Caenorhabditis elegans: one gene and its partner. The protein of the gene in region 2 interacts with the protein of the main gene of each other region in a biochemical or structural test. Each region holds a gene or a part of one and is shown on either strand. Other genes may lie near its edges. The genes, in order: nlp-62 and npr-24.

The links.
Region 1: the proteins of npr-24 (region 2) and nlp-62 interact in a test that uses a peptide from one of them, tested with the Caenorhabditis elegans proteins (one large-scale study listed by BioGRID).

What each region holds. Positions count from the first base shown.
Region 1 is NC_003279.8:5,853,494-5,857,136, forward strand, and holds nlp-62 (Neuropeptide), read right to left. Parts: upstream 1,548-3,643; 5' UTR 1,529-1,547; coding exon 1,451-1,528; intron 1,373-1,450; exon of another isoform or gene 1,290-1,372; intron 1,087-1,289; coding exon 995-1,086; intron 940-994; coding exon 852-939; 3' UTR 706-851; downstream 1-705.
Region 2 is NC_003284.9:17,482,384-17,488,599, reverse strand, and holds npr-24 (G-protein coupled receptors family 1 profile domain-containing protein), read left to right. Parts: upstream 1-1,764; 5' UTR 1,765-1,804; coding exon 1,805-1,852; intron 1,853-2,682; coding exon 2,683-2,774; intron 2,775-2,921; coding exon 2,922-3,274; intron 3,275-3,955; coding exon 3,956-4,079; intron 4,080-4,124; coding exon 4,125-4,272; intron 4,273-4,353; coding exon 4,354-4,451; intron 4,452-4,948; coding exon 4,949-5,060; intron 5,061-5,114; coding exon 5,115-5,261; 3' UTR 5,262-5,592; downstream 5,593-6,216.

The DNA of each region.
Region 1 (3,643 bases), on a different chromosome or scaffold from region 2:
AAAAAATTTTACGTGAGAATTAAAATTATGTTATTTTTGTTTAATTTTTAGGTCGTTTCAGAGAAAAAATCACTTAAAATAAACATGAAATTCGTAAATAGCGTGTTCACAGCTTTCTAAAAATATTTTTTTCGACCAAAAAATCGCAATTTAATTTTTTCGTCCATTTCTGGAGAAGCAAAAGTCCGATTTCATTTTTCGGAGCGAAGGACGATTTTGAAGATGGACAGTGTTTTTTGAAAGATTTTTTAGGACATTGTACTCAAAGGAGTGATCATTTTTCAAAATTTCAAGTCGATACGTTGGATATGAAGAGTTTTATGAGCGAAATTGGATTTTTTCGAAAAACAGTCTGTAACTTGGCTGAACATAAAATATCAAAAATCTTGAAACTGATAAAACGTGGAGAAATATTTTTTACTCACTACTCAATAAAATTTTAATTTCTAAAATCCAATGGAAGTTTAGTTATGAAGGGTACAACAAAAGAGTTATCAAGATTTTTCGTGAATTTTTGAAAAATGGCTTTGACTCTGTGCAACTCTACAAATAGTTAGTGTATTAAAATAAAAACTGATGAAACAAGAAGGAAAAAATATTTTTGATCATTTTGTTAGTAGAACATTTGTTTTCTAGACGTGTGGACCAAATAACCGCTTAAACTCGCTAAACTGAATATCTTCAAACTGGAGTTTAAATCATGCCTTAATACTTTTGACACGATTTATTTTAGAATGAATGTGAGAGAAAGCAACGAGGAAGATATTTTAATTCATCAAAAATAAAACAAGTAGAGATCAAAATTTTGACGAGAAACAAATGTGGAGCACCAGATTTTGTGAGGAGTTGAACTAATAACATGTTATCGGATTGAAAAAACATCGATTCCTTTCAATTATCTCAACACGACGTTTCAGTAGATCAATTCCACGCTTTGGTCTGAAATTATAGTTAAATTATTAGAGTATTTGGTAACTTAGTATTAAATTATTACCTGTTATCTGCATTATCATCATCAACAGGTTGTGGAGCAAAATATCCTCTAGCTATGCTTTCCTGATTTATATCATCGTAGGATCGGAGAAACTGGAAAATGTAACTTTCAGAACCAAATAGTGATTTTATAATAATTCTGTTTCTTCTGTTTCAAACCGATATACTCGTGAATTATGATATTTAGTGAACAATTTTGTTGGATTTACCACTGCAAAAATAACGCAAGGCGCGCCGAGGAAACGCCGTGCGCCTTTAAAGTTTTGTTTCAAATTTTGCACGACACTAATAAGTGCAAAATTTAAGTGGGCTGAGCCGGGGATCGATCCCGGGACCTCTCGCACCCTAAGCGAGAATCATACCACTAGACCACTCAGCCACAACTTTTCGTCTTTTTATCAGACTGTCAGACTGATAAGGGTACTATTCGGGAGGTCTAAATAAATGTTTAACTAACCAAACTCCGAAGAGGAATCGCTGATGTGAAGCTGCAAAGAAAGGCGAAAAACAAGAGAAAAACGAAGAATTTCACCATTTTTTACCACTGTTTTACTGTAATTATGAAGAATTTTAGATAGGGAATTGAAAAAGGCAATAGGCATTCATTGAATAAGAAAGTTAAAAAAAAATGGTTAGCCCGAAACGAGTGGAGATTACTTATTATTATACATACGTTAAATATATGATGCGGCGGCTGCCAAAACACAGCAGCGGACACTTTGCGGGTGCAATGAAAATAAAAGGGGGAACTGGATGCGGGGATTTCCAAAAAAAAAACATATCAATAACTACTTTAGGGTTAAAATTATTACAAAATTTAGTTCTCCGAAATAAACTTAAATTTTTTTCGTCTTGAAACAATCTAATAAAACATTTGTATCGTCTTAAATTGTTCCATAATTTGCTGTAAAGAAACAAAGAAGATTTTAATTTTGTGAGAACCTGCAAATAATTTTGGAAGAAAATAGATTTGGCACACCTAAAATCAGATCAAATTTGTACAAAAATATTTGGAAAATATAACTATATAGGCTGCACCCAGTGGCGTGCATCAGAACGAAAAAGGGCCCAAGGAAAAAGTGAAGAAACACGAACATATAAAATATTACAATTTAGAAAATTATGAACCGTTTTTATTTTATTTTCTTCCCATCAAAACCCGCTGATCAGGGTAATTAATAAGAAGTTTTTGGTTTAAAAAATAATTTAAGAAAATGGGCGGCGCGAATACATCAGATCAAATTTCTGATCTGTTTTGTTTTCACTTTCATTAGAGCATTCAATTCCACTTTATATCTCAAATTGTACTAGGCTCCGCCCTTATATTTTTTGAATCCTAATAAAGTAGGTAGGCGTGGCTTAAAAGTATATGTGGAGATTTATATAATCTTGGTGGAAATTTGAAATTCGCTATGAAATTTGAAATTTGCAATTGGGATAAAAAAGAAATTTGAGCCAAAAAATTGGCTCAAAGGTCGTACGAATAGGGGAATGTAATTAGTATTTGTTGGAGGAGGAAGAGCTTCTCACGTTTAAAGAAATTCAAATGAAATTGAATACATACTTTCTTTTGGCCTAAATCTTTTTTGAGGACCATTAGTGGTGTAGAAGGAATATTCTGGGGGTGGAAGGAAAAGGGATTTATGACGTTTTTTCTTTGTCTTTTTTAGATTTCAAATTTGAGAAATGGCACTGTTGTTTCGTCATGCACTCGAATGATGTACCCACGGCGTTTTTGACAAATTTGAAGCGAGAAAATTTTCGGGAATTCGAGATTTGAAGTCCTAAAATAACTAGTTTTCTTTAAATAGAAATTAAAAAAGGTTTCATTTATTTCAACTGAGTTACTTGTACAGATATCCTCAACCTTCGGGGACGCCTTTTCCCCGCCTCATGACTTGGTAATTGGTAACGTCATTCTATATTTTAATGAAACTAGAGGGTAAACAGTAGTCGAAGTTTACCGTAATCTTTTTCAGAATGAAATAGAGAGCCTAAAATTCAGAACATCCTAACACAGAATGCCGGCAGAAGACAAAAGAAAACAATTAATCAACAAAAACATTTGGACTAAAAATTTGGAGAAATAAATCAAAAAAAAATCGTTCTACTTTAGATGTCACTCAATTGCTACTGCAAAAAAAGAATTTGGTACTGTAATAGTAACATATCTTTGTTCTCTCTTCCACTGCCACCCATCAATGATTACGAAAAATTGGTTGAAGAAACTTGTTATCAGTTATAAATAAATAGTTATAAAACATGCAGAACACGTGTACCCTACTCATTGTGAACCGGATGATCAATTATCATAAACTATATTTCTGTAGTAAACGGGAAATTCCCGTTTTCCGCAGACTATGGACGCACCATAATAAAACATATTGAGCTAAAATCCATACAGAATAACGTTTTCAATTGGGCATAATCGTTTCAAAATTCCTGTCAAAAAGTGGGATTTGGGAAGTGTAATCAGATAAAAATTAGCCAAATAACAAAAATAAAACAGATTTTAAATTAAAAATAAACAAAGAAAAACATGAATATCAAATTACAACACTTACTACTTTAGTGGAAAATAAATCGTATCAAATGGAATTTTATCTGAATTCGGAGAATTTCAAAAGTTCCGCGAATAGAAGAACAGGGT
Region 2 (6,216 bases):
AAACTTCACACGGAAATTTAACGGGTTGTGAGAGGCTCTCGCAAGTTTTTTTCCAGCCTTATGGTGTTAGTATTTTCACAAAGGTGTTGCAAAATAACAGAAAATGATTTTACATAATTAATTCTAATCTTACTTTAGCAATTGTTTGCCTTATTCGGTTAAAAAATCTTGATTCAAAATAAAATTCTTCGACACACATTCACAGGACTTTTTGCACTTTTGAATCGTGGCCACCGGAAATTGGTAATCAAACTGGACTTGAAAAACGGGAAGAGCCATGTGATGATGCTCCTTTTGTGAACTTTGTTTATAGACAGGAGGACAATGCAAGTTTCGATGATCATTTTCTGTCTGGAATTCAAAATTCTGGTAACTTTTCCCCGACAAACAGTCTTGTTTTGGTGAGCAGGTAAGCGGGGGGGGGGGGGGGGGGGGGTCGGCGCGGTGTCAAAACATATTGTCAGGTTACTTTCTGCCTCCTTTCTGCCTCCCATATCGTATTTCTCATTGCCCAATATTGTCTTGCTCCCAAACATCATTTTCCTACACTTTCGATTACATCTTTTCACATTTTTCTGAATTTTCTCAATGCTCTTGTATACACACATGTCTTAAAGTCCTCGTATCCGTTTTCAAAGGAAGTTCTTTTTTTGTTGTCTTCGGTTTATTTCGTTTCATTTTTTATTTGGTCAGCATTTTTTTATTCGAATCTAGTTTCATGATGATTCAGTGTTTCATATGAAGGGTTCTGATGCTCAATGAGCAATTTTGTTTTTATGACTCCTGAGCTTATGTCCAGGCTTAGACTTTAGCCTAGGCTTGTGTTTGAGTTCAGATTTCCGCCTAAGCAAAATCTTGAGCTTAAAATTGGACTTAGTCTTAGGCTTGCTCTTGATATTAAGCTCAGTTTTTTTCTCAATTTCAAGCTTTTACTTTAAAGAAATGTTTATGCTGATGCTTATGTTATGGATTTAGTCTAGTTACAGTTCTGGGTTTTTTCAAGCTCAAGCTCTGTCTTTCGCTCCGACATAGACCTCAAGTTAGGCATTGTTTGATGCTTGAGCTTTGTGATCCGACTTAAGCAAGGGATATGCTTAAGTTTTTTTCAGGAAAAGGCTTTATCTAAGGCTTTGCCTCGGCCTCTGATAGTTAAAGAAACCTTCAGAGCTTTATCAAAAATTTAACAATAATTTTGACTGGTGGTCATTCGGTCATCCACATCGTGGTTTTGCGGGAATACCTATATATTTTTAGTTATTGACAATTGCCGAAGTTGCAGACACTCAACATTTTCAAAAAAATAATTTTGCGACCTGTGTGGCAAAATCTGTCCCACAGGCCTAGTCTGCACCCACAGAGAAGGTTAAAGACCATATGTTACTCTCTAGATATCTTCGATGTCCTCGTATCCTTTTTCAGCGGAAGTTCTATTTTTTATTTGGCCAGCCCCCGCTTAGTTTCAAGACGATGTTCTTTTTCAAATCTTTGACATTTTTCTAAACTTTTTATTTGTTTGAACTTAAATCCCATTGAGAATTACTGCACTTTCAAGCTGTCTGCGTCATCTAGCCGTTCGGTACGGTTGATTGGGAAAAGTGTGGTGCTTTTTGAGAGAACACGCCTACTTTCTCATCTTCGCTTTTTGTCTTCTCACATCTTCTCATTTATCCGTTTTTCTTCTCACTGATTCGTTCTCATTTTATGCTACAAATATTCGTACTTTTTTTCGTGTTATTGAATTAGTCAAGAATTAAAAATGAGTGCTTTCAGGAACTGCGATGTCGCTTTTGATATAGAAATCCAGATGATGAACAACACCAACGAACAAAATTTCACGGAGGTCATCGATCCGGTAGGTCTACAGTATGTTTAGGAAACTACTGTGAAAGTGTGTTTAGGAAACTACTGTGAATGAACTAATTCTTCAAAAACTATCAAAATAATATGACTAAAAAGTACTCTTAACGTTGTACAACATTTGGATTTTGAGAAACCAGCAGAAATTTTAACAAATATCAGAAAATTACTTGCTTTTCATTCTTCTTTGCCAATAAACTCCTTCTGGGGGCATCTCAGCGATCTGAAACCACTGTGTTTTCATTATTTACTTGTTTCTAGTTTTAGTAGCTGAAAATCCATAGAAAACTTCACCGAGACACCAGTAAATGTTTTTAAAAGCAAATTCAGTAGTTTTCGAAAATGACGCCAATAGAAAGTCCGTCAAGTTAACCGATTTGTGGATTTTTTACAGTTAAATTAAAAAAAAAAACTAACTATGTCGGCTGCAAAATCAAACGCACGTTAAAAGGAATTCTATTTAAAACGGTTTAAATCACACCTTTTTTTGAAGAGTTTTAAGTTTTATTTGTACAATTGTGACTCAAACAGTGCTCAAATGAACGAATTTTCAGATTAAATTTCAAAAACTTTTTCAAAATTTCCGAAAAAAAAAATTATATACCACTTTTGTCACTTTGTCACCTATCCGCTTCAAATGTTACTCAATCAATCAAATAACGTGAAATAAACAACTAAATTGATCAACAAAATCTGAAGATTAAAAAAGTCACATTCAGACCGTAGTGGTATAGAAAAGTAAACGAAATTGACCGTAGTGGTATAGAAAAGTAACCGAAAAAGTAACCGAAAATAGATTTTTCATTGCTATCTTCCAATTTTCAGATCAAAACTGTTGCTCATCTTACATGGTGTCTGACCGCACTTATTGGCATTCCTGCCAATCTTTTTGTGCTGGCCGCTATTGTGTACTTCCGGTGAGTTTGACAGAGTATGTGAACAGGAAGCTAAAAGGAAACTCAAATATCCAATCGGAAATCAAATGTTTCGTATTTTGAATTGGGTAGCACTTAACGTTCTTCCCTGACAGGAGAGTAAATCAAAAATCATGATGAAACTTTTAGTGATATGAGAACAATATCTAACATCTACATATTCAACCTTGCCGTTGCGGATCTCCTCTTCCTCTGTGGCATTCCAGTGTCCCTATTTGCCCAGTCGTCTCATGATGGTTGGATATGGGGACCAATAATGTGTAAACTGTACATATCTGGAAATGCAGTATCGCAGTTTGCCTCTGCCGTCTTTATTGCAATACTCTCGTTCGACAGATATCTGGCGGTCTGTCGCCCGATTCAGTCGAAATCGTTCCGAACAACACAGGCGGCATTTGCATTGTCTGTGGCTGCATGGATAATGGTCATTCTGGAAATGACACCGTTGTTCCTGTTTGTCAAGCTGATCAAATCTTCTTCGGGTGAGTTCCATATTTCCGTTGATTCTTCTATTAAAATTGTCTAAAAATGGACAGATTAAGATCTGAATTTTCACTACATTTTTATGTATCTAGCATCTTTCGCTCCTAAAAAGTAGTTTTGGAAGAAATCATATTGTTATAAGCATTCTAGCATCATGTTATATTATTTTTGGAATGTTTTAAAAAGCTTTATCTATTTTTTGAGACCTATTTTTGCAAAAAGATTCCCTCAATGACTTAGAATTCCGTGAACTGATCTAAAAAAATTCGAAAAGTTCTTTGTTTTGTTTTTCCAAGGCGCAAAAGTGAGAGATATAAACTTTAAACATTCAAAACAATTAAAAATTTCTTGAGCTACAGTTGTTTCAAGAATGAAAATGTTTTCATTTCCGGAATATGTCTTGTTCCTTGATGTTCAACTCAGAACTGTTTTCAAAACTAAAATTAATGCAAAAAAAAAAAACACTTTTTTAAAATGCAAGTCATTTTAAATCTATGCATTCGTAGAAACAAAAACAAAAACACTTTAGAATTAGAAAATATATTTGGAAAAAAACGGCAAATTCGAAAAAGGCGGCTGAAAAGAAAAAAGAAAAAGTAAATGCATCAAATCAACTGAAATGTACGAAAGGACCGTATAAGTTACCGCAATTCGGTCTAAAACTTCAACAAATTTTTCAGCTGGCGAGGCCAGGGGAGGAAGCTGCATGCTATTTGTTGGAAACGTCACTGTACTCGAGTCAGCAACCGAAATGAATGAAACATTGCTTAATGAGATCGAGCAGAACATGCTGGCTTCTAGAAGGTACTTAGTCAATTCTTTTGAGATGTTAAACTTGAAATATTTCAGATTCTTCATCAGTTATACATTTGCCCTTTCGTATCTGATACCATTAGTTGCCGTCTGGTATTTTTATTTCAAAATAATATTGAAAATGTGTCAAAGAAAACGACAAATGCAAACTAAAAGAACGGCTACCAAGAAACGAACTACCAAGGTTTGCATTCAGAAATATCATAAAAATAGCACGAGTCTACCTTTGAAACTTCTGACTCTAGAAAAACATTGTTTTTTCTAGGTAACCATAATGGGGCTAGCCATTGTCATCTCCTACACCCACTGCTGGCTTCCGTTTTGGATTGTTCAATGGTCGATTGAAGCAAATCTATTCGAAAAGTAAGTCGGCCTCCTACATTGCGGAAGTCAACCAAAAAGTTCGCGTGACTTTCTAATGAAGTTCCGGAGTTCAAATTTCAAACCCGAGAGTTTTACTGCTCATTAGAAACTTTTGAATGGGGCAGGAAGGAGGGGTTGCAAAAAAACTACATACTAACAAGAGAGTTGAGTGGTTTTTGAAGTGAACTCTTCCGGGTTACGGTGGTCCTAAACTTACAATGTTCAGTCAGATAAAAATGAAACTAACAATAAAGGCAGGGGGAGGGGTGATAATTTACGAAAAAACATATGCTGACACAAACTTATTTGGACAAAAAACTTCTTCCATATTTGAAAGTTTAAAAGTTTTGCACTAAATGTCGGAACATCTTGTTGGTTTCTGGAGACGGCTGATTAAACTATATGTACAAACCAACACAGCGTTGGTTGCTTGTTTACGTTAACATGAAAACGTTTTCAACATAAGAATTACTTACGCAATAATTATTTTTTTCTAGAAGCAAGTACCTGCTTTTTTGCTGCACACACTTTGCATTTGCCCTTCAGTACATCAACTCTGCTGCGAACCCGTTCCTCTACGTTTTTCTCTCAGATTCTTTCCAGAAAAATGTAAGAATTTATTTCAGAAAATAACTAAAGTCCTCAATAAAAACGTGTTTTTAGATTCAAAAGCTATTACGAACTGCCAAACCGGATAAGCAGATCATGCTCAAAAACTCCACTGATCCGCAGGACACCAGTAAAATGCTAAACGTCACAAATAATCCGTTGTACTCATCAGCAACCAATTCTCATTACAGTAGCTGCTGAAGATGTCAGAGCCACAGTTTTATATTAGGGTTAACTTTTGGGTATACTTCTGGATCTTCTAATATGTGACACCTAGTCAGTTCCAATGCCATGACCTTGCATAGCCTGAATTGTAACCGGCAGTACCAAAATATTTCACAAGTATAAATTAAATCTCTTCACACAACGCATATAAACCTTGCATTCTTGTACATTGAACTTACTTGGAATATATCACTGGTCCCACTCTAATACACTGTTTATATAAAAAATATTGATTTTTGAAATGTACATTTTAATGTACATTATTTATTTTTGAAGAATTAATTGAATAAATTATTTTCGAATTAACTGATTTTGTAATATAAAGTGTCTCGCGAGGGAAATACGAATCTTTAAGAGTTTGGTACTGTGCCAAGTTTTGCGTTCTAAATTGCTTCAGGTTGTTAGTAAGCTATGCCACTTTAACTTAGAGCACAGGTGTATCGATTTTTTCAAAACACTTATAAAACATAGTTTGTACAATTGTAAAAATTGCACCAGAGATAAAACGAATTCTTGCAAAATCGCGAATATGTTGCTAGTTGCAACTGCCGAGTGCTGCGAGGAGTACAATATTGCTAAAATGTTGCAGCGAAACTCGTAATTTTTAAAATACATCTGAAATTTTGGAGACCAAACGTGTCTTACAATCGGCAACAAGATTTCTTGAGTAAAAAAATATAAAAACTTTTTCAAACTGTAAAATTTTCCAAAAATCGTTCAGAAAAAACTGGTGAACCAGGGCAGTAGTTTTTGGCTACCGGCAATGGGAGTTGCCCAACTTTGTGTAATTCATCGGCAATCGGATGCCCCATTGCTAATATTTTGTTGTTTGTGAAAATTTATTAACAGTAATTTCTTAAATTTACGGTGGCATTTTCGTAACAAAACCAGCAGCTGCGAGACCACAAAATTTTTTGTCAACCGGTAATTT